7 linked regions of the Macaca mulatta genome follow. The protein of the gene in region 3 purifies or fractionates together with the protein of the main gene of each other region. This does not show direct contact. Links are inferred from orthologs where the notes say so. Each region holds a gene or a part of one and is shown on either strand. Other genes may lie near its edges. The genes, in order: LRP5, AMER1, AXIN1, PPP2CA, GSK3A, HIPK2 and DVL1.

Region 1 (3,500 bases), on a different chromosome or scaffold from region 3:
AGGGGGCGGGAAGAGGTGGAAGTAGCTCCTCTCGGTGGCGGGCGAGGGCGGGCAGCTGTCCTCTGCCGACAGGTACTGGCTGTGGGGCGTGGGTGGGGGCGGGTAGGGGTCTGAGTCCGAGTTCAAATCCAGGTAGTACTTGCTGGCCTTCCAGCGGCTGGCGCTGTAGTCACTGTCACACACGTCGGTGCTGCAGGGTGTCGTGGGAGGCGCCATTCCTCGAATGATGTAGGGCCTGAAAGGGACACACACAGAGGATTGGGATTTGGTAGGCACATCCGTCCTGGTGGGCACAGCAGCCTTGAGGCTGTGAACTTCGGGAAAGGCCTGTCCACTGGCCAGCTCCAGAAAATGCAGGCCTGACTCGGGACCCACCCCGCTGTGTGGCCGGGGCTCATCACTTACGCTCTCAGCTCACCCTCAACAGCCCCACCTCTACCATGGGCATGCCCGCACCTGCCCTGCAGCCTGCCAAGCCTGGGTCCTGGCAAGGCTGCCTCTGCGGAGAACGAGGCCTCCAGAGCCTGCTAGCTGACCTTGGCCAGGAACTGTCTTGACCTCTCTGAGCTTTAGTTTCTCATTAATAAAAGTGAGGGATTAAATAGTACCCATTTCAAAAGTGAAAGATACATGAGATTCTGCCTGGAAAGTGCTAGAAACAGTGCCTGACAAAACAGGAAACTGGACAACTGTTCCCCTAACATTGTTACTGTGTTGGCAAGGGATATGGTTTGGCTGCGTCCCCACCCAAACCTCACCTTGGATTGTACTCCCATAATCCCCACGTGTTGTGGGAGGGACCCAGCGGGAGGCCACTGAATCACGGGGGTGGTTCCCTCGTACTGTTCTCGTGTCAGTGAATAAATCTCACTAGACTTGATGGTTTGATAAGGGGAAACCCCTTTCACTTGGTTCTCATGCTCTCTCTTCCCTGAGTCCATGTAAGATGTGACTTGCTCCTCCTTGCCTTCTACCATGATTGTGAGGCCTCCCCAGCCGTGTGGAACTGTGAGTCCATTAAACCTCTTTCCTTTATAGTTACCCAGTCTCAGGTATTATTAGCAGCGTGAGAACAGGCTAACACAGCAACCAGTGGGCCTGGAATGCTCCCATCCTGAGTTCAAGCAACCTGACTCGCGAGATGGCTCCTGACCTCCCATCCTCCCAGAGGCTGCCTGCACCCAACTGCGGCCCAGAAACACCACATCCCACTGTGTGAGTCCAGACTCGGAACCGTGGTGTGTTTAGGAGCCCCTGTCCTGTCACAGAGGGGCTTGCAATGGGTGGGAAGGTGCAGCCAACACCTCGTGTTGAGAAAAGTGCAGCAGGCTACCCCTCCTGGGGCCCAGCTACTGCGAGGTCAGGCGGTGGGGAGGGACTGTGTCTCCGCGGTGGGGCCCAGAGCAGGACGCCATGAGCAAAGGCAGGAGGTGGGACAGGGGCCTGGTGAGACTGGCCTGCCCAGTGTGGATGTGACCATTCTGGAGACAGTGGTCCGTAAGGCTGCTGGGACAGACTATGACAGTTTGATATAATACTGAGGCATCAGGGAGGTGGCCAGACCCAGAGGGGTATGGAAATGGAGGCCGCAGTTCCGGCTCCCCAGCCAGGCCTGGGAGTTCGTGGAAATGGCCACTAGGTGGCAGGCGGCACCACACTCAGGAGGCCCTGCTGCTCCAGGGACCCAAGCAACGAGGCACGTGTGGCCCTGAGGTGGCCTGGCCCAGGCCCAACCCATCCCACCCCATCACCCCTGGGGGTGGGGCCTGGTGCAGCTGGCAGGTGGGCCTTGTTGGCTAACACCACTGGGTTAAAGGTCAGGAGGCTCACCCTGCCCATCCCAGGCTCTGATCCAGCCCCTGCGGAAAACAGCACACCTGGGTCCCACTTCTCCACACTCTCAGTTGCCCCTCCCCAAGCAGGGAGGTGGGGCCTGTGACCCCAACATGGGGAGCTCGGGGGCTGGTGTCTGGCTGAACAGCCCCGCTGGCTTCCCGGGCTCAAACAGGCCACTGTGGCAAGTGAGCTGCCCGGATCATCCTGGTGACATCACACGATTAGGGGTCCACAGTGGGTGCTGCAGCAGCCTTCACAGACTTGTCCCGTCCTAAGAGGACTGAGCCACGAAGAGGGGGCATCTCAATGGCTAGGGTTCCACAGCCGGCCTCACACATACAGTTGCACCCTGGAGCCCAAGTCCCCGGCCCCTCGACTCCACAGCCATCTCCCGGCTTAAAGGTAACCCCCACAGGAGCAAGCTGAAGAGCAGCTCAGAACACGGGGCTCTACTGGTTTCTGAACCCAACACGCAGTCCCCGCTGGGTGCATCTGGGGAGGCAGCCTAGTAGGATCGGCAGAGCAGAGGGAGGCAGGGCTGGGCCCAGCACCTGCCCACTAGACCCCAGAACCCCTCACCAGTGGCATGGGGATAAGGCACCTCTACCATGGGCTGGTGAGAACCCAACGGCCATGGAGGGCTGCGGGGGACGTCCTACCTGTACGGTCTCGCGGTGGCCGGAATGTTTGAAGAGTAGAACATGTCCATGTTGTACAGGGAGGGGTCCGTGGCCGGGGAGGGCGGCGGGTTCAGGATCTGAGGAGAGCCAAGCCAGGGTGACCCAGAGCCTCGCCAGCCTGGGCCTTTCTTCCTTCCTCCCACACCTCTTGGGCTTTCCTTGCAGGGAGGGCTTCTGGACCCCTGCTTCCCAGGACCCCTTCCTCTGGCCAGCTGGCGAAACTTGGGGATGGGAGGGTAGGCAGCAGCCACCTGCCCCGAAGGTCGTCTCGGTGAGAGGCAAAAGGAACCCCGTGCCCTTCCGAGTGCCTGCCTTGTGACCAGATGCTGGGCTGTGAAGGCAGGGACGGGACTTCGATCAGTCCCCTTTGTGGCCAGGCCCCAGCAGGCGGAGATGTCCCCACAGGCCCTGAGTGTCCCCCACACCAGTGAGCACCTCACCAGGCTCCTCAGGGACCTTCCCAGGAACCCTCCTTCTGACCTTTCCTCCTGCCCCTCCTCTCTCCATCACGCACAGTCTAACTCCTGCAATGACAACCTTGTTCCGAACACTCAGGGGCTCTGTGTCCCTGCTGCAGCCCTGACCCACACACGGAGGTCGCCACACTAAGGGAGGAGCCGCGGCCCCACTCCAAAGGCACCCCCTTCACAAGCGCCTGTGCTGGCACCAGCCCCAAAGCTGAGATAGTAAATAGACAAATTCACCATGTAAACCTGCCCTCCAGGGCCGGGCAGCACACAACCAGCCCTACAAAGGGATGAAGGGACCCCGGGCCCACACACCCACACAGGTCTGCACCTTCCACAAGTGCCACTGACGGCACCCCAACCCAACATGCAGCTTCCCAAAGGGTGCAGGGCTTAGATGGGTCTCCAAGGCCATCCTGGAAAGGATACAGCCAGGTCTGAGCTCCTGCGGAGTAATGGGAAGGGAACTGTCAGTTATGCCCGGAGGGACTCAGTTCTCCTAGGCCCCCTAGGGCGG
Region 2 (4,027 bases), on a different chromosome or scaffold from region 3:
AAGGCACCAAGGAAAAGGTAGGCCCAGAACTGGGGTCTGAGAAGGAAGAAGATTTGGACAGGTGTAGGCTGAGTGGGTTTGGGTGTGGGCAAGGGAGTTACATAGAGCAGATACATTAGGTGCCTGTTGGCCTAAGACAAGGCAGAGGGCAGGTCCAGCCCTGGGCTAGAGATGCCCAGCTGCAAGTAGAGGTTTGTGTTGGGGCCTAATCAAGGTGGGAGGAGGTGGCTGTAGTGTGATATCTGTGGTCCTGGCTCCTGTCATAAAGATCCAGAGCTAGCCTTCCTCCAAGTGAGGAATTTACTGGGTCTCATTGCCCCTCCTCAAAGTGCCCAAGCTTTGCTTGGGCCCTGCAGCCCACATGACTCTCCACACCAGAGATTAATCAAAGGTCCAAGAAGAGCCTACCAAGTCCCTCAGTGGCTTTCTCTGTCCTATTCCTCAAAAAGGCCTAGAGAGCCCACTGCCAGAGGTGCACCATGGTGCAGTGACTGTGCAGTGGGTGGGGCCGAATGAGGGGAGCCGCACTGGGGGAGGGGGCTCTGCTGGAATCCTGGTGGGGCAGGCAGTCCAACAGTGCAGTGCCCTCCGCCTTGCCCATGCCCACGCCGCTGCAGCAGGCAGGCAGGCAGAGCCGCAGAGAGAGGTATTTGTGCGTTGAACAAGGCTCGCCTTGACCCCGCAGCCCTTGCCAAGAGGAGCCTGGCCAAACGGAGACCAGCTCTGAGGGACCAGTCCAGCTGCTGCCTAGGCGCTTGGGCTGTGACGCATGTAGCCGGCGCAGCCCCTCACCACTGGGGGAGCCAAGCAAAGTCCAGCGTTCGGGCGGTCACCAGTGTCAGAAGTGTCTCCAGGAGACAATGACAGTGGCCTAGAGAGCTGGGTATGTTAAGTAACTGCGAAGTTGGAGGGGTTAGCCACCTCGATAGCTCTCCTGTACACACAGAGACGGTATGATACGTTCCGTACTACAATGAGGGCTCCTTCGGCCTCAGGCAAGGAAATGCCCCCAAAACACCGTGCCTATCGCTATTTTTAAACGGGAGGCTGGAGAGAAAAACGCGGCCAGTATCCTCCAAGGGAAACGGAGGTGAGGCGAGGCGGGAGACAAAGCGGCCTTGCAGCTCTAACTCAAGGACTAGCTTGCGCCGCTGCTCTAACCCAAGGACCAGCAAGAGCCCGGCTGCCAGCCAGCCTGCCCGACCGCGGGGGCGGGCGCCAGATGCGCCGGGAGGCCCAGGAGGAGGGGCGCGGCTAGTTGGGGCCGCAAGGCCAAGGTTCTGAAGGGAAGTGTGCGACTGAGCTCAGCCCACAGGCCCCACTGAGCTCCTCTGGGGAGGGGGCAGTCTGTGGATGTCCTAATCCACGCCAAAGCCGGTTTCCGTCGGGCCCAAGCCAGCACGCCAGCTTGAGTCCGCAGAAAGGAGGGAGAGGCTGGAGATGCACAGGGGAGGGGAGGGGCGGCAGCCAGGCAGCCAGGGTGAGGGGTGAGCGGTACCCGCGTTACACAGCTGTTCCAGCAAATGTGCTAAAACAAAGCTGCAGAGCTCCCGGCCTACAAATGCATGGCTTGGGGTGCTGGCTGGCGGCGCCCTTCCCGGGACTGTGCGGCAGCACGTGCGGGCCCATCCCCGCCCCCCCGAAAGCCGGGAGGCATGGCCCAGGCTAGCCTGCCTTCCTACCCTCCCTCCCCAACCTCCCCCCTCTCCCCAGCCGTGGTCGCTTGTGCCCAGGGGACTCAAGGCCGCTCGGCCTCTCCACCGGACACTCCGCAAACCGGGTTCCAAAGGAGAAGGGCGAGCGACCGGGACTCCGACCCGCCCAGTCCTTAGCGCCCTTCTCCAGTTCGTAGGAGCAGAGCACGCGGGAATGCACCCGACCGCGGGCAGGCGGAGGCTCCTGGCTGTACGCAACGCTTACCCGGCCGGGTCAGGTTCCTAGCCTGGTTATTGTCCGCTGAGCCGCCCTGGGCCGGGCTGCAGCCTCGGCTGCCGCGGCTGAGAGCGCCGCCACCGCAGCTGCTGCCGCCGCCGCCGCGGCTCCAGTCACCTCCAGCACTGACTCCCCTTCCCCAGGCTTTGGGAAGCTCCCCCATACCCCCTCCCCCAGTACTCCAAGGCCACCGGGTGGGGCATCTGCGTCTTGATTGGCAGGCGTATGGTCCAATCGCTATGGTGGGAAGGCGTGCCCCGGCCCGCCCACTGTTTTCCTTGGTGCGTTTCTCTTTAAATGCAAATAAGTGCAGGCGTGGTGTTGGCAGGGGGCGGAGAGGGTGCGGAACCACTGGCTGGGGCTCCCCACTCCCGCCCCCATGCCGGGCTGGTAGTGGCGTGGCTGCACCGTGGCTTCAAGGAGCCGGTCCTGCCCGGATGGGGCTCGCCGGATCCCTGGAGCTCGGTTTCGGTTTTCACGCACTGCCATTTCCGTGGCCGCTGTGCATTCGCGTGTGCCCTGGACGCCAGCAGGCCGTTTATTCCTGAGCTAGAGGCCGGCGGGGAGTAACGAGGCAGAGAGGTTGAGGAACCTGGGGAGACTGCAGAAACCCTTAGCACCTCCGCCGGCCCTTCCTTAGTCGTAGAGACAAGGCCCTGCGGATCGCGCCGCCAGGCCACCCAGAGGAGGGACTCACCTGCCAGGAAAGCCAGCTGCAGCGCCTGCGCCCTAACTTCCTCCGCCTCTCTGGCACACCGGTGCCCCTAAGACCATAGAGGCCAACTTCCACCCGTTACCGACGGGCCCTCTGCTGCCCCGAGTAGGGAAAGCCCCTCCCCACAGTTACCCAGCCGGCCTGCGACATGGGCCAATTTGGAATACAGAGCCCCGGGCTCCCCTTCCAGGATTGCTTTCACTTTTCTTCTCTGAGATGATACCTGTTTTCCATAGATTGACCCTCACCCAAATTTCCCACCTTCTATGGAATGTGGAGGGAATCCCCAAGGTCTTCAGAGTCCCCCTTCCCCCTATCCTTTGTGAGCCTGGCTTTGTGCAGGCCTTTTTTCCTGAAAAGTCTAAATATCGAGAGGAAAATCTTGTCTGGGCCCAAACCGGAGGTCAGGCTGAGGACAAAATGAGGAGGCCTGTACCAGCCTTGTCTGCTACTGTGTGTGGGATGTGGCAGGGAGCCAGCCGAACTTGGGTCTCTAGCCTAAGGACATTAAGTGGCATCAGTGGCTGCCAGGGCCAGGTGAGCGGAGGCAACAAAGAATCTAGTTCCACCTCTAGTTCAAGAATATCCAGAAGGCCCAGCCCTAAAACTCTGTGCGTGTCTAAAAAGGGAGGTGGGTGGATTAAAGTTGAGGATAGAGAGAAGGATTAGAGAACAATGCGTGCTATTTTTGCATTGCAGGAGTGTTCTCTGCTGCTTCTGGGTCCTGACAGTCTTGAAAAGATCCAGCTGCTGAACTGGTAAGAGGTGGACTTCTGCCTCTGCATGTGTAGAGCACAGGAACTGACATGGCTGCTAGGGATCTGACTCTAGCTCTACCTCAGACTTGCTGGACACCTTGGCCAATTAGTTTTTTTTTTTCTCTGGGCCAGTCCATCACCCCGCCTCCACAAGGAGAGGGTAAGCATCATCAGGCTCTCTTGATATCTTTGAGATCTGAGAGTTCAACTCATTTTTTTTCTATAGTATTCCATGACCTTCCACGGAATATTATAGGAAATATAGATGTTCCATGACCTTCCATGACATTCTATACATTGCCAACAAAAATCAATATTGAACATCAGACTCCCTTCCTAGTACCGAGTCTAAATAAATGGTGAGGAGTAGGGAGCTGCTGCTGGCTCATTATGTAACTTTTTTTCCCATCTGAATGGCTGGACTATAAAAGTTTCCCTGGGGCTATGCTTTCCTGCTTTGCAAAGTCCTGATTCTCATTTGTAGGCCTGATTTGGAAGTTTATTTTGTTTTCCAGAATCTCCATTATAGACTTCCTCCCTACCTCGTGCCTCTGGTCACTGCCACTTGCTCGCATTTCACTCAGAACCTTGATTCTCTGAATTAGACCAAGATTATGATTTG
Region 3 (4,270 bases):
GCTGCCTGGGGCGTCCTGGGAGGTGTCAGGCCCAACAGTGCTCTGGGAAGGACAGGGCTGATCCTGGTACTGACATCCTCCTCCTTGGGGGAGGCAGGGCCTGATGGTCGGCTGAGGCCTGGGTGGAGAGCAGAGGGTTGGTTCTGACAGGGTTGGGCTGGCCAGAGCTGGTGTGGGGGCTGCTGCTGGGGTCCTGTGCCTCTCTGCTGTGGGATGCCTGGGGCTGTGGCCTTGTGCTCTGTGGCCTGCAGGGCAGGTGGCACGGATCTGGGCAGCCAAGATGGCAGGATTGGACTGCACCCCTTGGCAGGGCCGCTGTGGAGACAGCCCAGGGGAGGGGCTGCAGGGTTTCAGACACTCCAATGGCCTTCCTCTCAGGCTGGCCTGGGCAGCGGAGGGAAGGAGAACCCTTCTCTGATACTAGATGGTGCCTGGGAGAAATCAAGGCAGAGGGTCCTAGCCGGTGGGCTCCTTGGAGGTTGTGGCTCCTGTCCGGGTGACAGCCAGCACATATTGGGGCCTAATGTGTTCCCTGGCGCTGTGAGTCCCGGCTGCCTGGGGACTCAGGAGGGTGGAGCCCACGCCACCTTCCAAGGGACCTGGCCATCCCTGCCTGCCGACCACCCAACTCCTGGGAGCCTGCTTCCCTCACGGCGGCTGGCAGGCCGTGGCGGTCTCCGCGGGGGCCTCCGGTCCAGGGCCGGCGGGGCAGGGAGCCCCGAGGCCTGCAGCCCCCTGGATGCCCACCGATGTACTGGCGGCAGAAAAGGGCTGCGCCCCGCGTGCGCCCGTCGGGGCGGGCAGTCCGCCCAGCGCTCCCCACGGTCGCAGCCATTCCAAGCACCTGCAGCGGCGCCTCCCCCACTCCGCACTCCGGGAAGCCGCAGCCGCCGCGGCTCTGCTTCCGCGTCGCCCCTCGGGAAGACCGCGCGACCACGCCCCCGCCGCGCCCCGCCCCCGGCAGGGGCTGACCACACCCCTCTCCCGCTCACGCAGAGGCCCTGCCCCATGCTTCTCACCTCGTCCTCGCTTCCGGCCCCGCCCCGCGCACGAGGCTCCGCCCCACGCTCGTTACCTCTTCGGCTCGAGGCGGGCCCCGCCTTGCTCCCTGGCCGCAGCCCCACTCCCAAGGCCCCGCCCTGCGCTCTTCACCTCGTCTTCTCGCTTCCGGCCCCGCCCGTGCTTGGGCCCCGCCCTGCGCTCCTCACCTGTCCAATCGCTGTCTGCCCCGCCCCACGCTCCTCACCTTATCCTCGCGCTTTCAGCCACGCCCCGCGCCTGAAGCCCCGCCCCACGCTCTTTACCTCGTCCCCTCGCTGTCGGCCCCGCCCCGAGCTGAGGCCCCGCCCCGCGCTCTCACCTCGTCCCCGCGCCCCGGCCCCGCCCCCGCACTTCCGGGCGCCGCCGGCGGGGGCGCTCGGGCCTGGGCTTCGGCGCTCTGGGCTCGGGCTCCGGCTCCGGAGGCAATCGTGGCCGCTGCCGCCGCCAGAGCCGGCCGGAGTCGACCCGGAGCCGCGTCCACGCGGAGCGGGCGGGTGGGAGCTGGCGGCTGGGCCCCTGCGGCGCCCCCGCGGCCTGCCCCGCGTCCGCCCCCGGGCCGCCGAGCCGCAGCCGCCGAGATGGGGGCCGCCCCGGGCCGCGCCCCCGCCGAGTCCCGCCCGCCGCGCTGCCGCTGAGCGCATGGGCCGGGCTGCGCCGCGCCGCTCCGGGAGCCGGGCCCGGGGCCCCGCCGCCTCCGCGCGCGGGTGAGTAGGGCCGGGCGCCGGGGCGGGCTAGGCCGCGCTAGGCCGGGCGGGCGGGACCCGGAAGCGGCGGGGGGCGCGGGTGGCTGACGCGCGTGGGGCCGAGGGGGTGGGCGCGCGGGGAGCTGGGGCAGGGGTGTCCCTGGGCAGCGAGACCGGCGGCGCGGGGGCCGCTTGGAGTTCCGAGGCCTCGGGCGCGTCTGGGGGCGCGGAGCAGCTGCAGGGGCCGCGCATCGCGTGCGGGAACTCCGGGAGAGCCGGGCCTGGAGCCCTCCCCGCCTCCCAGAAGTCGGCAGGAGTCCGGCTGCCCCGGAGGAGGGCACTCCCGCCCGCCCTCGCCGAGGCCGCGTACCGGGTCCAGGTCGCGGTGCGGCCTGAGTAGCCGCGTGCTCAGGCGTTCGTGCCCTCCAGGTTTGATGCCTCGCTGCCCAAACACTCGTCTCTCTCTTGGGTGTGGTTCCTAGATTCTACCTCCCGCCCGGCACTTTGGAATTTAGCCCCCAGTGAAACCAGAGCTGCATTGCCTGAGCAGTGAAACTTTCGGCTTGGCATTGAAGAAAGTAGAGAAAAACATGTCAGTTCTCTAGGGATTTTTCTCAGCCCATCTATAAGGTAATTTTTTTTTTTTTTTTTTTTGTAGAGATGAGGTGTCACTATATTGCCCAGCAAGTGTTGTTGAACTCTTGGCCTCAAGCGATCCACCTGCCTCAACCTGCCAAGGTGCTGGGACTACATGCGTGACCACCGCCCCCTCTAAGATAATTTTTTTTTTTTGAGACGGAGTCTCGCACTGTCGCCCAGGCTGGGAGTGCAGTGGCGCGATCTTGGCTCACTGCAACTTCCACCTCCTGGGTTCAAGCAGTTTTCCTGCCTCAGCCTCCTGAGTAGCTGGGATTACAGGCATGCGCCACCACGCCCGGCTAATTTTTCTATTTTTAGTAGAGACGGGGTTTCACCGTATTGACCAGGCTGGCCTGGAACTCCTGACCTCAGGTGATCCGCCCACCTCGGCCTACCAAAGTGTTGGGATTACAGGTGTGAGCCACCGTGCCTGGCCCCTTCTAAGATAATTGATAAAGGGTGCAGTGCAATAGTGCGATCTCTGCTCACCGCAATCTCCGCCTCCCAGGTTCAAGCGATTCTCCTGCTTCAGCCTTCCCAAGTAGCTGGGATTATAGGCATGTGCCACCAAACCTGACTAATTTTGTATTTTTAGTAGAGTTGGGGTTTCTCCATGTGGGTCAGGCTGGTCTCAAACTCCTGACCTCAGGTGATCCGCCCACCTCGGCCTCCCAAAGTGCTGGGATTACAAGGGTCAGCCACCACACCTGGCCTCAGTTTCAGTTTTAAGATCTCCATTCGGGGACAAGGATGGGAAAGCATGAAAAACAGTGTTTTTGTTTGATTTTCAGCTGGTGTTGACTTGGATTTCTAGTTTCAGAAAAGCTAAGCAGACTTTTTCGGATTACATTAGTCACTGAGAATTTCAGTGATGGGGGAACAAATTACATGTGAAATAGTAGCCCTGAACCTTCAAGAGTTAAATCAGTGGACAGCTGGGAAGATGTCAGAGTCGTGCTGTTTTACTTGCATCCTCCATGTAAATCAAAATTTCAAAAGTTAAGTTTGGGTAAAATAAATACCTACACACGTAGGTAGCACTGAGTTTGCTGCCATGGTGCCTGGGGCATATGCCTAAGCAGTGATGAAAGGGAATTTTAAATACGATATCAGACTTGTAGGCATCCTGCCCATTTTATGGACTCACTTTATTGATGGTAGCTACAGGCTGTGGGCCAGATTCAGTGCTTGCGGGCATTTGATGCTAACCTGAGTAAACATAACTGCTTTATGTGTGGTGTCTACGTGTGTGTACACTAAATGCTTGGTGTGCTTCCATGTGGAAACCCAGAGATTTCAGGAATTGGGATATGTTTTAACAACATCAGTAACTTGTGGAGGGGTTCATGTGCTTCCAGGGACACCAAAAAGTCTTCTGTCAGTTGACAGCCCAAAATACACATGATTATAAAAAAATTTTCTCCTGGGCTCTGAAAAATAGTTTAAAATAATTAAGGTGGACTTGGTTCACACATGAATTAAAACATTAGTTTTGGGGCCAGGCAAGGTGGCCTGTAATCCCAACACTTTGGGAGGCCGAGATGGGCAGATTGCTTTGAGCTCAAGAGTTTGAGACCAGCCTGCCCAACATGGTGAAACCCCATCTCTACAAAAAATACAAGAATTAGCCGGGCGTTGGTGGCTCCTGCTTGTAGTCCCCGCCATATGAGAGGCTGAGGCTGGAGAGTTGCTTGAGCCTGGGAAGCTGAGGCTGCAGTCAGCTGAACTCGCCCCACTGCACTCCAGCCTGGGCGACAGAGCGAGACCCTGTCTCAAAATAACAAAAAAAACCAAAACAATAAAACCCATTAGTTTTGGAAGAATTTGCTGCTGTTTTCTGTAGTACAGTAGTTCAGCATCTGTAGAGAGCCAGTGTTTGGCATCTGTGACAAATGTCTGTCTTTTTT
Region 4 (2,766 bases), on a different chromosome or scaffold from region 3:
AATAAAATGTTCAAGTAGAAATACTTACAAAGAGTATTTTAGAGTATCGTCAAGTTCCATGATTGCAGCTTGGTTACCACAACGATAACAATAGTTTGGAGCACTGAAAATTGTTACTACATTTCGGTCATGGCACCAGTTATATCCCTACAAGGAAAAGGAGGCAAAAATCTTACTTTACTCCCTCAATTCAACTAAATGCTACTTCACTCAAGAGAGAAAAAAATCTCTACTCATTCCCACCCCTGCCAAAGGGGCTTAAGAAATGTTAATACTTTTTTTCTGGTTGACTTAATAATTTGCTGTACTTCATACAACCTGTAAGATACATACGTATTTGTTTTCCCCCTAATTACAAAATTTGCTTTTAGTACTAAAAAGAAAAAAAAAAAGCCTTTAACAAACAGTGGCGACCACCGAAGAATGAACTGCTTCTCATGTATCTGCCTTGCTGTAAATGATGGTGTCTCATTAGCCTCTTCTATTGCAGTGGTCTTAAAACATGATTTAAGAATGAGTATTTAAGTGGCCATTCCCTAGAGAAGTAGATACCTAATCCTGGAGATCAGAACCTTACCAATTTCGTCAGTTACAGGTAAAGGCCTGTAAGTCATTCACTGCCCAGGAACAAATGTGATATGCCTCTAGGATCTCCAGCCTTGTTTCCTCAAAATCCATCCATCTGAATGCATGAGCTACTTTTGTTACTTTTTGTTTAGTATTGTTCACAAATTTATTTATCTTTAGCAAAGTCAGATTTTATTGATAACCACAGAGTTGTACTAGTATTAATCTAATTAGCACCTTATTTTAGAAACATGCTAATCAGTGTGCATGTCAAGAACCTTTGCCTCTTTCCCTTCTCTTCTTTCAAATTACCTGTAATCCTACCATCCAAAGGACCACTTAGAACATTTTGGTGTATTTCTTTCCAGTCTCTCCTACATACATACATGTTAAATATATGAAATGACATTGGGATCATAAAATATTATATACACACCCCAACTCCCTACATCTTACTTTCCCACTCTTAGATCCCAAGTACTTCCTAGTCATTCAGATTTCTCTGGAAACATGTTAATGGATTCATTGTAATCAACAACTTGAGCTTTTAATTCTAGTAGTGTGCATCTACTGAAAAGGCTCAGGCTATAATGGTAAACTCATCAGAAGGAATAGATGGAATTTCTCACAAATGTCATTAATTTAAAACTCCCTAATATCTTCTCTCCTTAAGTTTACTAAAAAACAAGTCATATTTCAAATAATAGAAGCATACCTCCATCACTAGCTGGTGAGCTCTTGACACCAACGTGAGGCCATTGGCATGATTAAATGTCTCTGAAATATCTTGCCCAAAGGTGTAACCAGCTCCTCGAGGAGATATTCCCCAACCACCACGGTCATCTGGATCTGACCACAGCAAGTCACACATTGGACCCTAAAAAATAACTTCGTTATAAAATGCCTTTTACAAACATGGTTAACACATTATTTGAGTAATTCATCAGAAGCAGCACCCTAAGTCACCCTCTTTGAGTGATGTTTGTGGACAACGCTAGTAGATTATGCAGTTGAAGTCAAACATCTGCATCAAGTAATATGTATTTTCCAGTAGACTTTATGAGACACAGCTGACATCCATGGGACCCAGCAGTAACATGCCTTAATTAATCTGCCTATATTATGCAAATTTCAGAGTCTAAGACAGACAACCTAGGTCCTAATAAGCCCAGCTCTACAGCTGCTGTGATCTTGGCAGGTTTCTTAATGTCAGCTTCTTCTGAACAATAGGGCAGACAAGAGTGTTCACACCTCAAGTTGTTTTTGAGAATTATAAGAGAGAATACATCTAATGATCTTATAATTAAACCTCTCCACTCTTTAATAAGTTTTCTGGAAAGATTTTATCAAATAAAAGTCATACCTCATGGGGAACTTCTTGTAGGCGATCAAGTGCTCTGATATGATCCAGTGTATCTATAGATGGCGAGAGACCACCATGTAGACAGAAGATCTGAAAAGAGTGGTTTAAAAGGTTAACCTCACCTAAAAAATTTGTAAACATTCTTGGCTGGGCACAGTGGCTCATGCCTGTAACCCCAGCACTTGGGGAAGCTGAGGCAGGAGGACTGTTTGAGGCCAGGAGTTTGAGACCAGCCTGAGCAACACAGCAACACCCTGTGTCTCTATAAAAATTTTTAAAAAATGAGCTGGACGCCCCCATCACTTGGCCCCTCTGGTGTTTCTGTGCTCTGCCTGAATGAGGCCTGACTTTGCAGGATTCAGCTTTGCTCCAGCCCACTCTAAACGATTGAGTACACTCCCATTCTTCCTAATAGAACATCACTGTCACACCCAGACTCCACCTCAAACAGCTCCTTTGAGAAAACTTTTTGGATATCACTCCTGCCCCCTGCCAGAGACTAGTATCTCCATGCTCATAAAATTTTATTATAAGTTCTTTTGTGTGCACAATAATTAGTTCCTTACATCTCCCAGACTTGTCCAAAAACAGTCTGAGAGAATAAATGGGCTACATCATCCACCCCTGTGATCCCATCATATAGTTCAGTGCCTGATATAAAGAATAATGCACTTTAAAAAGCTGGACACATTTGTCAAATTAATTTTTTAAAATTTGAATGAATGCTATCAATATCTACTAAAAAATATCCCTAAAGGGGTATAACAGTGGAAAGAGTCAGGAGCACCTGAACATTAAAGGAAGTTGATTCTCTGAAATAATCAGCAATGAGTTTT
Region 5 (3,500 bases), on a different chromosome or scaffold from region 3:
CTTGGTGAAGTGGCGGGCCACCCGGTACACTGTCTCGGGCACATATTCCAGCACCAGATTTAGGTAAAGCTCATCTTTCTGCAGGGAGCAAAGGAGAGGCGTGAGGCACTGTGAGAAGAGTGAGGAAGGGGGAAGGAAGGTGTGCAGGCAGCAGTGGGGGAAAGGCAGGTGGGCAAGAAAATGGCTGGAGTCGAGGTGGAGCAACCCACCACCACCACCACCTCGAGGTCTCACCTTCTCCCCACTGGAGTAGAAAAAGTATCTCAGCCTCACAATATTGCAGTGGTCCAGCTTACGCATGATCTGCAGCTCTCGGTTCTTGAGGGCAAAGGGAGAGAGTCTCAGTATACGACCAACTCTCTCGGCTGCCCCTCCCTACTCACTCCCCACAACAGCCAGGCAGCTACTCCCTGTGTCCCAGCTTCAAGGTCCCCTAGGGTATCCCCCAATTCCTTGTCTCCAGACTACTCTCCTCCCACACGAGCTGGAAGCCTACCGGTTAAACCCAGGCCACAGATATGTTTTCTTCACCCCAATTTTTTTTTTTCTTTGAGACAGAGTCTTGCTCTGTTGCCAGGCTGGCATGCCGTGGCTCGATATCGGCTCACTGCAACCTCTGCCTCCCTGGTTCAAGCGATTCTCCTGCCTCGGCCTTCCAAGTAGCTGGGATTACAGGCATGCGCCACCACGCCCAGCTAATTTTTGTATTTTTAGTAGAGATGGGGTTTCACCACGGTGGCCTGGATGGCCTCGATCTCCTGACCTCGTGATCCACCCACCTCAGCCTCCCAAAGTGCTGGGATTACAGGCATGAGGCACCGCGCCAAGCCACCCTACTTTAAAAATAAAAAATAGGCCGGGCGCGGTGGCTCAAGCCTGTAATCCCAGCACTTTGGGAGGCCGAGACGGGCGGATCACAAGGTCAGGAGATCGAGACCAGCCTGGCTAATACGGTGAAACCCCGTCTCTACTAAAAAATACAAAAAAAACTAGCCGGGTGAGGTGGCGGGCGCCTGTAGTCCCAGCTACTCGGGAGGCTGAGGCAGGAGAATGGCGTAGACCCGGGAGGCGGAGCTTGCAGTGAGCTGAGATGCGGCCACTGCACTCCAGCCTGGGCGACAGAGCGACACTCCATCTCAAAAAATAAAAATAAAAATAAAAAATAAAAAAAATTCAACTTATTGCTGAAATGTAAAAATCAAATGACACCTTCTGATTTTTTTCTCCAAAAGAAAGTTTTAAGAAGGATAAGCCGGGGCTGGGCACAGTGGCTCACGCCTGTAATCTCAGCACTTCGGGAGGCTGAGGCGGGCGGATCACGAGGTCAGGAGATCGAGACCATCCTGGTTAACACGGTGAAACCCTGTCTCTACTAAAAATACAAAAAAAATTAGCCAGGCATGGTGGCGGGCGCCTGTAGTCCCAGCTACTCGGGAGGCTGAGGCAGGAGAATGGCGTGAACCTAGGAGGCGGAGCTTGCAGTGAACAGAGATCGCTCCAGCCTGGGCAACAGAGACTCCGTCTCAAAATAATAATAATAAATAAAATTAAAAGGATAATATAAAATTTATTTATTTTTTTTTAAAGAACCTGGCTATGGGCCGGGCGCAGTGGCTCAAGCCTGTAATCCCAGCACTTTGGGAGGCCGAGATGGGCGGATCACGAGGTCAGGAGATCGAGACCATCCTAGCTAACCCGGTGAAACCCCGTCTCTACTAAAAAATACAAAAAAATAGCCGGGCGAGGTGGCGGGCGCCTGTAGTCCCAGCTACTCGGGAAGCTGAGGCAGGAGAATGGCGTGAACCCGGGAGGCGGAGCTTGCAGTGAGCTGAGATCCGGCCACTGCACTCTAGCCTGGGGGACAGAGCCAGACTTCGTCTCAAAAAAAAAAAAAAAAAAAAAAAAAAAGAACCTGGCTATGTTAGCCAGGATGGTTTTGAACTCCTGGCCTCAAGCAATCCTCCTGCCTCAGCCAATCAGTTTAAGGATTACAGGAGTCAGCTACTACACCCAGCCTTAAAATAAAAATAAATAAATAAATAAATAAAAACAGCTGGGCTCACACCTGTAATCCCAGCACTTTGGGAGGCCAAGGCAGGGGAATCACTTGAGGCCAGGAGTTTGAGACCAACCTGGTCAACATGGCAAAACCCTATCTCTACTAAAAATACAAAAAAATTAGCTGGGCATGATGGCGCATGCCTGTAATTGCAACTACTTAGGTGGATGAGGTATGAGAATTGCTTGAACCCAGGAGGCAGAGGTTGCAGTGAGCCGAGATCACACCACTGCACTCCAGCCTTGGTGACAGAACAAGATTCTGACTTTAAAAAAAAAAAAAAAAAAAAAAAAGAGACCATCCTGGCTAACATGGTGAAACCCCATCTCTACTAGAAATACAAAAAAATTAGCCGATAGTGGTGGCACGCGCCTGTAGTCCCAGCTACTTGGGAGGCTGAGGTAGAAGAATCGCTTGAACCCAGGAGGCGGAGGTTGCAGTGACCCGAGATCGTGCCACCACGCTCCAGTCTGGGTGACAGCACAAGACTCCGTCTCAAAAAAAAGAAAAAAAAAAGATTGCACATCTAAATCCAGTTTTTAGTTTGTCTTGAAAACTCAGGGCTGGGCACAGTGGCTCATGCCTACAATCTCAGCACTTTGGGAGGTCGAGGCAGGGGCAGATTACTTGAGGTCAGGAGTTCAACACCAGCCTGGCCAACATGGCAAAACCCTGTCTCTACTAAAAATAAAAAATTTAAAAAAAAATTAGCCGGGCGTAGTGGCCCACGCCTGCAATCCCAGCTACTCAGGTGGCTGAGGCACGAGAATCGCTTAAACCTGGGAGGCAGAGGTTGCAGCAGGCCAAGATCGTGCCACTGCACTCCAGCCTGGGCGACAGAGTAAGACTCCATCTCAAAAAAAAAAAAAGAAAAACAAAAAATCAGGTGTGGGCATGTGAGGCTTGCCCCCTACCTAGCACAAGCAACAACAGACAGGTGGTGGCCATCCAGCTCACCCTGGTCCCATGGAAGCATCTGGATCCTTGAACTCTATCTAGGATCCTGAGTCCCAGACTCCAGGCATCGGACTCTTCCCAGAATGTGGTCTCATCATTCTTACCCATTCTCTATTCCTCTGTGAGGCCTAGGAACTCCCTGCCCCCACATCCCTCTCACTTCTGGAACTCAACTCCAATCAAATTCTGAAACCCTAGAGCTCCTCCTGCCCAAGGGCCCTCCCTGCCAAGACCCAGGCCCTGGTCTGGTTCCTTTCCAGTCTAGGCTCAGTTCTCCTACATCCAGACTAGCCTAAGCTCCAAATGCCAGGCCCTTAAACACTAATTATTCCTCAACTTCCACTTCCTCCACCTCCTTCTAGCTCCCTGAGCTTCTCCTAGCTCACGGGCACCTCCATTCCATCCTGCACTGGCCAAACACCTGGGGAGAGCGCGACCTTCCGAACCCCCTGCGCTAGCTCTTCCAGGTCCCTTTCTCTTCTGG
Region 6 (4,068 bases), on a different chromosome or scaffold from region 3:
CTGCTCATTTAGCGTGCACACAGGGAGTCCATGTGTTCTGATTGAGATAGGGGAAAAATCAGGTTTCCTGAACCCAGCGGATGTTACCATGGCGGGAGAAAGGAGGTCATCAGAGTCTTGGCACAATCATCAGTGAGTGAATGCGGGTCCTAGCAACCTAATCCTTGATTCTAGAGGTCACCTGTTGTAGAGCATATCCAACAATCTCTTTCAAAAACACCCAGGCCTGGGCTTTTGGCAGAGTGATGTGGGTTGGTTGAAGTGGGATAGGGAAGAACATTAGAAAAATAATTATAAAGGTGCACAGAGAAACATCCGGAATAAAAGGGTGCACAGCGCGGGAAGAATGAAGAAGGCACATGGATAAGATGGAGGGAAACCGAGGGCTGAAAGAGGCCACCACGGAGGTCACCTGAGAAAGGGAAGGAAGGCTGGCAAATAAAAACAGTTCATGAGACTTTTGAGATCCATGATTATTCTTAAACCGTAACACCCTACACACCTGCAATTCTTTATCTGGCGTAAGGAACTGGAAGAACAATGTAGCAGGAATGGGGAGAGCCAAGTCTCAGCCTCGGGGGCATGGCCTACATTCCACATGGATTTAGAATGAAAGGAGCAGGAGGAGAACAGTGCAGTTCCCAAGATGGCTTTCCACAAAGTTGACAAAATACACCCCAACTCACATACCCGGTCCCTAGTAACAGGGAAACCAGCCGTTTACTATAGTTCTGAATTCAATGCCAAGTTCCTTCTCGCAACTCACCAGGAGTGTCCAGCAGAGGGAGTCTCAAGGAGGTACTTAATAAAGAGAAAATTGTTTCATTTTAACACTCTAGACAGTGGGAGCATTGACTGTAGCCCCCTCCTGTAGACGCAGATGAACAATGAACGCCCGACATGGGTTCTCCCGCATGTTCACATGTCCACCGGCATGTTCTATTCTGCGTGGTGGAGTGATCAGAAATTTCGTTTTGTTTTGTTGAATGGTTAAATGGACCTTGTGTTCTTCAGAATCAAAGAGGAAAGCCCCTGGAATAACATCTCTCTGTTGCCTTCTAAACAGCCCCTTTGTTTCTAAGAGAGTCTGAAAAAAAATATTTACAGTCCATAGGTTATTTACAGCCTCGTTATCCAGCGCCTGACTGGTAACTTTATTCAGGCCAGAAACCTAATTCATTTGGAGCCCTGAATCTAATAACAGATTTTCTTTTCAGATAAGTTTTTTTTTTTTTTTTTTTTTTTTAAAATCAGCCTCTTATAACAGAGATAAAACTATTAACGCCTTCCCTGTCTCACTGGCCACAACTGTTCTCCGGATTTACAGGCGGATTACATTCCCCCCTCGTGCCCTCCTCTGTGCCACACAAACCCTGTCCCCTCTCATTTGCGATTTCATCCACAGAATATCTGAACAAAACCGAAAGAAAGCCAGGGGGACCCACACTAAAAGTATGTGAAGGCTGCGAATTCAATGATTTCATGAGACAAACATTTACACGATGAAACGACTGAAAAATCAGACACACTTGGGTTTAAAATTTCTCCTACTACAAGCACACAAAAACACATCGAAGTGTAAAAACTTAGTTGATTCTGGGTTGCTTTCTGGCTGGAAGCTGACAGAACGGACTGAAGAGAAACGAAAGACAGTGTGCGAGGCAGACCTACTGCTTTTCTGCCTTGCATTCTTTTCTTTCTTGCTAAAGGCAAATGGGGAAAAATACCCCGACGCCAGGTGAAGGTGCACAACACAGGTCGACCCAGACCGAGCCAGGAAAACGTATCCGCCGCTCCCCCGGCTGGAAAACCCAAAGTCCACGTCCCCTTCCACACGCTAATGCGGGGAGATTTTCGCCTATTTCATTGTTCTGCTTGGCTCTGACACGGACTTTTCATCTCTCTCCCCACCTAGCCCCGTGCATTCCGATTCCACAGCCCCCCCAAAATCGGAGGCTCGCGGAGAATAAAGGAGCGTGGGGTGGGCGCGGAGAGAAATGGGAAGGGGCGCGGGGCGGAGAGCGAAGTGGAAAGGAGGTGCTCCGAAAGGTAATGTGGGGGGGCGGTGGAAGCTGAGCCGCATCACCTTCATTTATCGCAAATAAATAAAAAGCACAGTCACCGGTCCGCCTTCCCCGGCGCCCCTGCCCTCCGCGGGCAGCCGCCCACCCTCGCACACGCCCCCTCCCCTCCTGCGCCCCCGGTCCCTCTCCCCGCCCTGGAAGCAGGACCCTGCCGGCGCCGGGTCCCGGTCATCTTCCGGGCGAGGGAGGGGGTCGCGGCCCCCTCGGCCCCGGGTGGGGGCTGGGGCGGGCGCCGGGGGCTGCGGGCGCGGGGCCGCGGGCAGAACAAAGCTGCGGGGGCCGCGGCGGGCGGCGGGCGCGGGGTCGGCGGGGCCGGGCGCCCCTTACCTTCGTACACGGGGGCCATCGGGGCCGGGGTGTCCGCGGTTCATGGCAACGGGGACGGGAAAGCGGCGCGCGAGCTCGGCCCCCCCAGCCTCAGTCGGAATCTGCCATCTTGAGCCTGTGTCTCCGCTCTCGGCGCAGCCGAGGCCGCCCGCGCCCGCATCACCGCCTCCCGTGGCCGGCGCCGGGGGAGGGGGCCGGGCGCGCCGCCGCCGCCGCCGCCGCTGCCGCCCGGGCCCGGCGCGGGGGGCTCGGGGCTCGGGGCTCGGGGCGGCCGGGCGGGCGGAGCGGCCGAGGCCGAGGCGCCGAGCGGCCGCGGCCCCCGAGCGGGTCCGCGGAGGGGCGGGAGCCGGGGGCAGCGCGCGGCCAGGGCCGGCGGGGCTCAGCTCAGCATGGCTGGGCGCGGGGGCTCCGCAAAAGTTGCTGGCGGAGGGGGGCGGCGGGCGGGGGCGGGGCGCGGGGCCGGGAGAGCCACAGGGAGTCCGCGCGCAATCGAGCGCCGATGGCACGGATGCGAGGCGGGGAAGGCCGAGCCGAAGGGCAGAGCCGCGCCGGCGGCCCGAGGGGACCGCGCCGGGAGGGGCTGCCGCGCAGCGCGGGGGGACAGGGCGCGGGGCGGGCCCGGGGTAGCGGGTGAGAGGGCCGGCCTGGACTCGGCGGGCGCAGGGCTCCAAGCCCAGCGCAGCCGAGCCGGTCCGCAGAGGGGCCCCCAGAACTTTGTGTGTGTGTGTGTGTGCGTGTGTGCACGCGCGTGTGTGTGTGCCCAGGTGCGAGGGTGCGCGCGTGTGCTGGCGGGGAGGGAACCGACCCGAAAGAGAGCCCCAGGCTGGCAAAGTGGCTCGCCCATCTCACAGCCGGTTGGCGCTCGCGGAGTTAGGAGTGGAATGAATGAATGAAGGAGTGGGCGCGCGCCGTGCTCCCGGGGAGGGAGGGTGAGTGGAGGAGCTTCGGAAAGCTACGCGAGGTCAGAGGCACCGAAGCCCTACCGTGCACGCCGCGGAAATGCAGCCCCCGGGGTGGTCGCTGGGTTCCTGCCGGAGTCTGGCTTCGACGTCACCCTGATCTTCGCCTCCTCGCGTCTACACTGTCCCGAGGGTCCCCCCTCCATCACTGAATGGGCGCTCACAGCTGTCTGGGTCCTCGCTTTTCACAGCGCTCTCTCCTATCAGGGCTTTCGCTAAACACTCTCCAAACTCTCCCCAGCCCGGAGCCTCTTCAGGTTTGCTTCTCCAGCTGCCTCCCGGATGCTTGGATAGGATGCCCTACCATCCCCTCCAACTTAGGAAGACTTGTTGAGTCTCCTCTTAGGCACAGTTTTTAAAACCGTGGGTCGTGATACAGTAATAGATCATAAAATAAATGCAGCAGAAGGCAACCGGCTTTCAAAAAGAATGAAATGGAATCCAATAGAAAATATTAGAGTCCATTGCCCTTAGTAAGGGCAACTATTGTTTCATAAACCTTTTGTTTCGATTATAGGTACTGGACAAGTGTACTAGACCATGATGTCAATTTTATTTCCGACTGTAAATCGTGGGTTTAGAAAAGTTGAAAAGCTGTCTTTTTAAGGTGTAAAATAATGATCTCTAACACTGTATGACATTCTTAAAAACAACCCCGTGATTTTCTCACTACTTCTTATCCTTTCCGGTCTCCATCT
Region 7 (4,120 bases), on a different chromosome or scaffold from region 3:
TCTGAGCTGCTCTGGGAACGCAAGTGCTTTGTGACTCAGTGGGGACCGGGCAGACAGGGAGCTCAGAGCAGGGGTGGGCGAATAAAGTTTCAAGGCCACCAGTGGCCCTTGACCTCCGCCCTGTCACAGGGACCCCGAAGAAGGGGGCCAGGAGAACCTCTCTTGAGCCCTGGGGAGCTTCTGCAAACCCTAGCAGACAGGTTGGTGAACCTGTCCCCCCACGTCTCCCCATCCCAGCTAGGAAACCCCACCCTGCTCCCTTCTCACTGACACACACACCCCTGACCCCAGCCCACACCAACGGCAGGCGCTCCCGGCCAGCCCCAATGGAAGGGATGCCGCCGACCGAGTCCGACCCGGGCCAAGGCAGGACTCTGGACCGGGAGGCTGGGAGCAGGGACGCCGGGACCCCAGCCTGCCATCGCCCCACACCACAGACAGGTGGGCACGCGCCGCACGCGGGCCGAGGCCGCCACCCGCATCGCACCTGGCGGAGGCCTGGACCGCCCAGGACCCCCGCCCCGTCCCCGCGCTGGCAGATGCGACCCCCGAGCGCGCGCCAGGCTCGCGCAGGCCCCGTGGCCGACTGACCCGAAGTCCTGGTCCATGGACTTAAAGAAGAATTTGTAGGCGTGCACGGGCCGGTTGCTGAGCACGTTCTTGAAGTCGGCTAGCGTGACGCGCTCGGGGGCCACGGGCAGCTTGACCAGGTACGGCGTCTCCTCCTCGTCCATGTGGTAGATGATCTTGGTCTCCGCCATGGCGCGGCGGCGGCGCGGAGCCCGCGCACTCAGGGCCCGGCCCGGGGCTGGGACGCGGGGCGCTCCCCGCCCGCCCGCCTGCGCCCCACCCGGCCCGCGCCGCTCCCGGCCCCGCCGCGCCGAGGCCCCCGGGCGCCCCCGCTTGACCGCCCAGGCCCCGGCCGCCGCCCCCGGCTCCCGCGCGCGTCTCGACTGCTGCCCCGCGGCCCGCGGCCGCCCATCCGCCCCCGGCCCGGGAGCGGCGCGAGGGACGCAGCACGGAGGGCGCGCTCAGCCCCGCCGCCCTCCCGCCTGCGCCCCTCGGGCCGCGCAGTTAAAGGGACCGCCAGGCCCGCGGCCCTGAGCGTGGCCGCGGGGGGGCGCCCGAGCGCGCGGCGATGACGTCACGGGAGCGCGCGGCGGGGGGCGGAGCGTCGCTGCGCAGGCGCAGGCGCAGACGCAGGCGATCCTCGCTCGCCCCGCCCCGGGCCCCCCCCCGCGCTTGGGCTCGCTTTCCCCTGTGCTCGGGCGCCCGCGACACTCGCCGGTGCATCCCCGCGCGGCCTGGCTCTGGGCCCGTGGACGCCAGGGTGCTCGGGGTGGGTGGAGGGACCTCGGGGACGCCGGGTGCGCGGCGCTGAGGTGGCGGCCGGTCCCTCTGCGCCCCCGCGAAGGCGCCCGACTCGCATGCCCTCTGCCGGGTCCCACGGGGTCCGACGCAGGCCGAGGGGATGCGGGGCGCGCGTGGGCGCGGGCGTGCACGGAGGCGTCGGAGCGCGCGGCGGCGGGAGGGATTTCGTCCTGGGGTCCTCCGCAGGGCAGGGGAGACTTCCGAGCCTTCCCCTGAGGCCGCGGGGCGTCCGCGCTCGCTCCTCCGGGGCCCGCGGGGCTGGAGGCCTTCCCAGCCTGACCCCAGCAGGAAGCGCGGAGGCCACTAGAGGGCGGCCCAGGATGGGGAGAGTGAGGCGGGAGCCTGGACGGGGCTGGCGCGGTGGGGCCCCTTGGGCCCCGTCCCCAGGAAGCCGGCAGGAGTCTGGGACTTTCGCATCTATCCGGCCCTGACGATGCCCGCGCCGGCTCAGAGAGAAACCCATCAGTGTAGGTGCCGGTGGTTGACGGTCGGCTTGGGCCTGGGGTCCTGAACCTGCACCCCGGCTCTGAGTGGGAGAGCTGTGGCGTCCGCTCAGCCAAGCCCGGCCAGCTCAGCCGCCAGCCTCTGCCTGGAGCCTGGGCCACCTTCCCACCAGCCCTTGTTTTCCCCAGAGGTCGGAAGCCAGGCAGGAAGACCCCCGAGGGGCTATCTGTTGAGGCCCCAGGGAGGGAGGAAGCCCGTACCTGCCCTGAGGGCCAGACCCATGTTCCCCAGGCTAGACACAGGTGGCCCCAGAGCAGGGGAGGTGGCCCCAGAGCAGGGGAGGAACCACACAGGTGCAGGGGCCTGACCCCAGCCCGTCTCAAGAGAGGCTGGAAGCCAGAGGCCTGAGGCCAGTCCAGGTGCTGATGCCTATGTGGTCTGGTTGGGGCCCTGCCAGGAGCAGCCTTGTCCAGTGATGGTGAGGCCGGAGGCCAGAAGGGGGTGCATTTTCAAGCCACACCTCCCCAGACCAGCCTCCCTTCCTCCCAACCTGTGCTGCTGTGGGATCCTTGTGGGCAACCATCACCCTTTCCCACCCCCACTCCTGGGAGGACAGGAGGATGGGGTTGGGTGGTGATGCCGGCTTCAAGAAGCAGCACTTAGTCGCTGGTCTGTGCTGCCAGGAGCCCAGGCCACTGGCCTTCCTGATCCCGCCACTCGTCCCACCACCCAAACTTGTGCTGAGATCCTGTGCCCGGCACTGATGCCTGAGTGGGAAAGGATTCTAGGGCCAGATCCGTGCTGGCCTGGCGAGGACTCTCTTGGAGCCACCCTGCTGCCCCGGGCTGTCTCTGCCGGAGCCTCCTTGCTCCTGCCCCCTTTGCAAGTGTCTGACTCGTATCCCGCTACTTCCGCTTGCCATCCGTCTGCCTCTCCCGGAGCTCCACGGTCTCCTCTCTGTCCTCAGCCACCGCCACGTCCCCCTTCCCCACATCCAGGTCAGCCATCAAAGGAATATGAACTCCTCCACGACCAGAAGCATGCCACACAGAACTAACTCAAATGACCCCTTCCCAGGACACCAACTCCCAGAGGACCCAGACCCAGACCTTTCAGCCCAAGGAATGGGATGATGTCAGGGGCTTCAGGTGGAGATGAAGACGACGTGGGGATTCCCAGGCCCAGACTCGTACTTTGCCCACCCCTAGGAGATGGAGTTTCAGAAGCATACCTGGGCCAAGTCTAAAAATCAGATGGGGCTTTTATTGTGATGGTGGCAGGTCCACCAGCAGGTGCAAATGTGGGGTGCTGAGAGTGGCAACATAGGCCACCCCAAGCCACCTTCACCCCCTCCCCTGTTCTCAGCCAGTACAGAAGCCAAATGTGGCCCCAGCCGTAGACTCTAGCCTAGGCAGAGTCCAAGGGAGGGGTGTCAGGGTCAGAAGTCACAGGGAGCCCAGTGACTGTCAAGGTGGCTGAGAGCAAGGCTAGGGTAGGGGTGGAAGCAGAGAAACGGCGGGGGGTGCAGCCCCAGGTGGCCCAAAGCAGCAGAGAGGGGCAAGGGCTGGCATTCACCAAGTCACCAGGTCCCTGGGGAGAACAGATGGTGCCTGGAGTCCTGCATGGTACGCGGAGGAGCCCTGGGGAGCTCTCGACGGTGGGCAGCACCCCAGGAGGAGTGGGACTCCTGCCCTGAGGCTGACCCCAGTTTTGGGGCTGCCAGGTTCTGATGGGAGTGTCTTCCAGGAATGTCTTCCAGCCCCCAGTGGGCAGAGCCCAGGAGGGTCTGAGGGCATGCTGGGCATCAGTGGGATTTTGGTTGTGTCTGGGCTGAGCAGGGCCACCCGTGAGCAAAGGCCGAAGGGGTGGGGGCTGTGCTGCCACTTCTGCATATGCCCAGACCAAATTCCAGGAAAGCGGGACCAGCCGCTGGAAGGGGGTGAGCCCGGGAGCACCAGGTGATGCCCCGAGGGGCACAGACAGGAAAGATGCAGCTGCTGGCCCAGCCAGGAGCCCAGGGTCCCCCTATTTGCAGTACTCCTTCCGGAACCCTGGAAGCCAAGGGCGCCAACGGGTCGGCGTCTGTTCTCCACCCTCATCACAGTGGGAGACGCAGGGCAGACCCCCAGCAGGACTCCCCAGGGACTTCGGAGCCTGAGGTGGCAGGGGCCCTGGGCCTGGCTGGTGTCTGCCCTTGGGGGTCCCGGATGAGGTGGAATGGGGATGGGCAGGGCTCTGAGATGGGCTGAGGTAGCCCACTCACCTTTGTCTAGGTCGATGTACTTGGCAGGGAGGGGACTGTGGG

Evidence for each region.
Region 1: the proteins of AXIN1 (region 3) and LRP5 purify together in Homo sapiens (affinity purification with western blotting; 3 studies listed by BioGRID). This does not show direct contact. The link is inferred for Macaca mulatta from reciprocal best matches to the Homo sapiens genes AXIN1 and LRP5.
Region 2: the proteins of AXIN1 (region 3) and AMER1 purify together in Homo sapiens (affinity purification with mass spectrometry; 4 studies listed by BioGRID and IntAct, with this or other methods). This does not show direct contact. The link is inferred for Macaca mulatta from reciprocal best matches to the Homo sapiens genes AXIN1 and AMER1.
Region 4: the proteins of AXIN1 (region 3) and PPP2CA purify together in Homo sapiens (affinity purification with western blotting; 4 studies listed by BioGRID and IntAct, with this or other methods). This does not show direct contact. The link is inferred for Macaca mulatta from reciprocal best matches to the Homo sapiens genes AXIN1 and PPP2CA.
Region 5: the proteins of AXIN1 (region 3) and GSK3A purify together in Homo sapiens (affinity purification with mass spectrometry; 12 studies listed by BioGRID and IntAct, with this or other methods). This does not show direct contact. The link is inferred for Macaca mulatta from reciprocal best matches to the Homo sapiens genes AXIN1 and GSK3A.
Region 6: the proteins of AXIN1 (region 3) and HIPK2 purify together in Homo sapiens (affinity purification with western blotting; 3 studies listed by BioGRID). This does not show direct contact. The link is inferred for Macaca mulatta from reciprocal best matches to the Homo sapiens genes AXIN1 and HIPK2.
Region 7: the proteins of AXIN1 (region 3) and DVL1 purify together in Homo sapiens (affinity purification with western blotting; 3 studies listed by BioGRID). This does not show direct contact. The link is inferred for Macaca mulatta from reciprocal best matches to the Homo sapiens genes AXIN1 and DVL1.

The regions. Positions count from the first base shown.
Region 1 is NC_133419.1:6,178,531-6,182,030, forward strand, and holds part of LRP5 (low-density lipoprotein receptor-related protein 5), read right to left. Parts: intron 2,594-3,500; coding exon 2,496-2,593; intron 236-2,495; coding exon 1-235. UniProt on the Homo sapiens protein: Acts as a coreceptor with members of the frizzled family of seven-transmembrane spanning receptors to transduce signal by Wnt proteins.
Region 2 is NC_133426.1:70,579,698-70,583,724, forward strand, and holds the start of AMER1 (APC membrane recruitment protein 1), read right to left. Parts: upstream 2,801-4,027; 5' UTR 2,630-2,800; intron 2,150-2,629; exon of another isoform or gene 1,921-2,149; intron 1-1,920. UniProt on the Homo sapiens protein: Regulator of the canonical Wnt signaling pathway.
Region 3 is NC_133425.1:1,567,056-1,571,325, reverse strand, and holds the start of AXIN1 (axin-1), read left to right. Parts: upstream 1-1,470; 5' UTR 1,471-1,745; intron 1,746-1,861; exon of another isoform or gene 1,862-2,153; intron 2,154-2,206; exon of another isoform or gene 2,207-2,354; intron 2,355-2,382; 5' UTR 2,383-2,384; coding exon 2,385-2,462; intron 2,463-4,270. UniProt on the Homo sapiens protein: Component of the beta-catenin destruction complex required for regulating CTNNB1 levels through phosphorylation and ubiquitination, and modulating Wnt-signaling.
Region 4 is NC_133411.1:143,102,164-143,104,929, forward strand, and holds part of PPP2CA (serine/threonine-protein phosphatase 2A catalytic subunit alpha isoform), read right to left. Parts: intron 2,021-2,766; coding exon 1,931-2,020; intron 1,445-1,930; coding exon 1,283-1,444; intron 148-1,282; coding exon 29-147; intron 1-28. UniProt on the Homo sapiens protein: Catalytic subunit of protein phosphatase 2A (PP2A), a serine/threonine phosphatase involved in the regulation of a wide variety of enzymes, signal transduction pathways, and cellular events.
Region 5 is NC_133424.1:53,291,604-53,295,103, forward strand, and holds part of GSK3A (glycogen synthase kinase-3 alpha), read right to left. Parts: intron 319-3,500; coding exon 235-318; intron 79-234; coding exon 1-78. UniProt on the Homo sapiens protein: Constitutively active protein kinase that acts as a negative regulator in the hormonal control of glucose homeostasis, Wnt signaling and regulation of transcription factors and microtubules, by phosphorylating and inactivating glycogen synthase (GYS1 or GYS2), CTNNB1/beta-catenin, APC and AXIN1.
Region 6 is NC_133408.1:179,611,713-179,615,780, forward strand, and holds the start of HIPK2 (homeodomain-interacting protein kinase 2), read right to left. Parts: upstream 2,801-4,068; 5' UTR 2,431-2,800; coding exon 2,412-2,430; intron 2,050-2,411; exon of another isoform or gene 1,866-2,049; intron 1-1,865.
Region 7 is NC_133406.1:239,336,955-239,341,074, reverse strand, and holds the start of DVL1 (segment polarity protein dishevelled homolog DVL-1), read right to left. Parts: upstream 2,801-4,120; 5' UTR 1,294-2,800; coding exon 1,093-1,293; exon of another isoform or gene 762-1,092; coding exon of another isoform or gene 702-761; coding exon 592-701; intron 1-591. Other genes in the region: MXRA8 (matrix remodeling-associated protein 8), read right to left, coding at 3,387-3,601, 4,079-4,120. UniProt on the Homo sapiens protein: Participates in Wnt signaling by binding to the cytoplasmic C-terminus of frizzled family members and transducing the Wnt signal to down-stream effectors. Plays a role both in canonical and non-canonical Wnt signaling.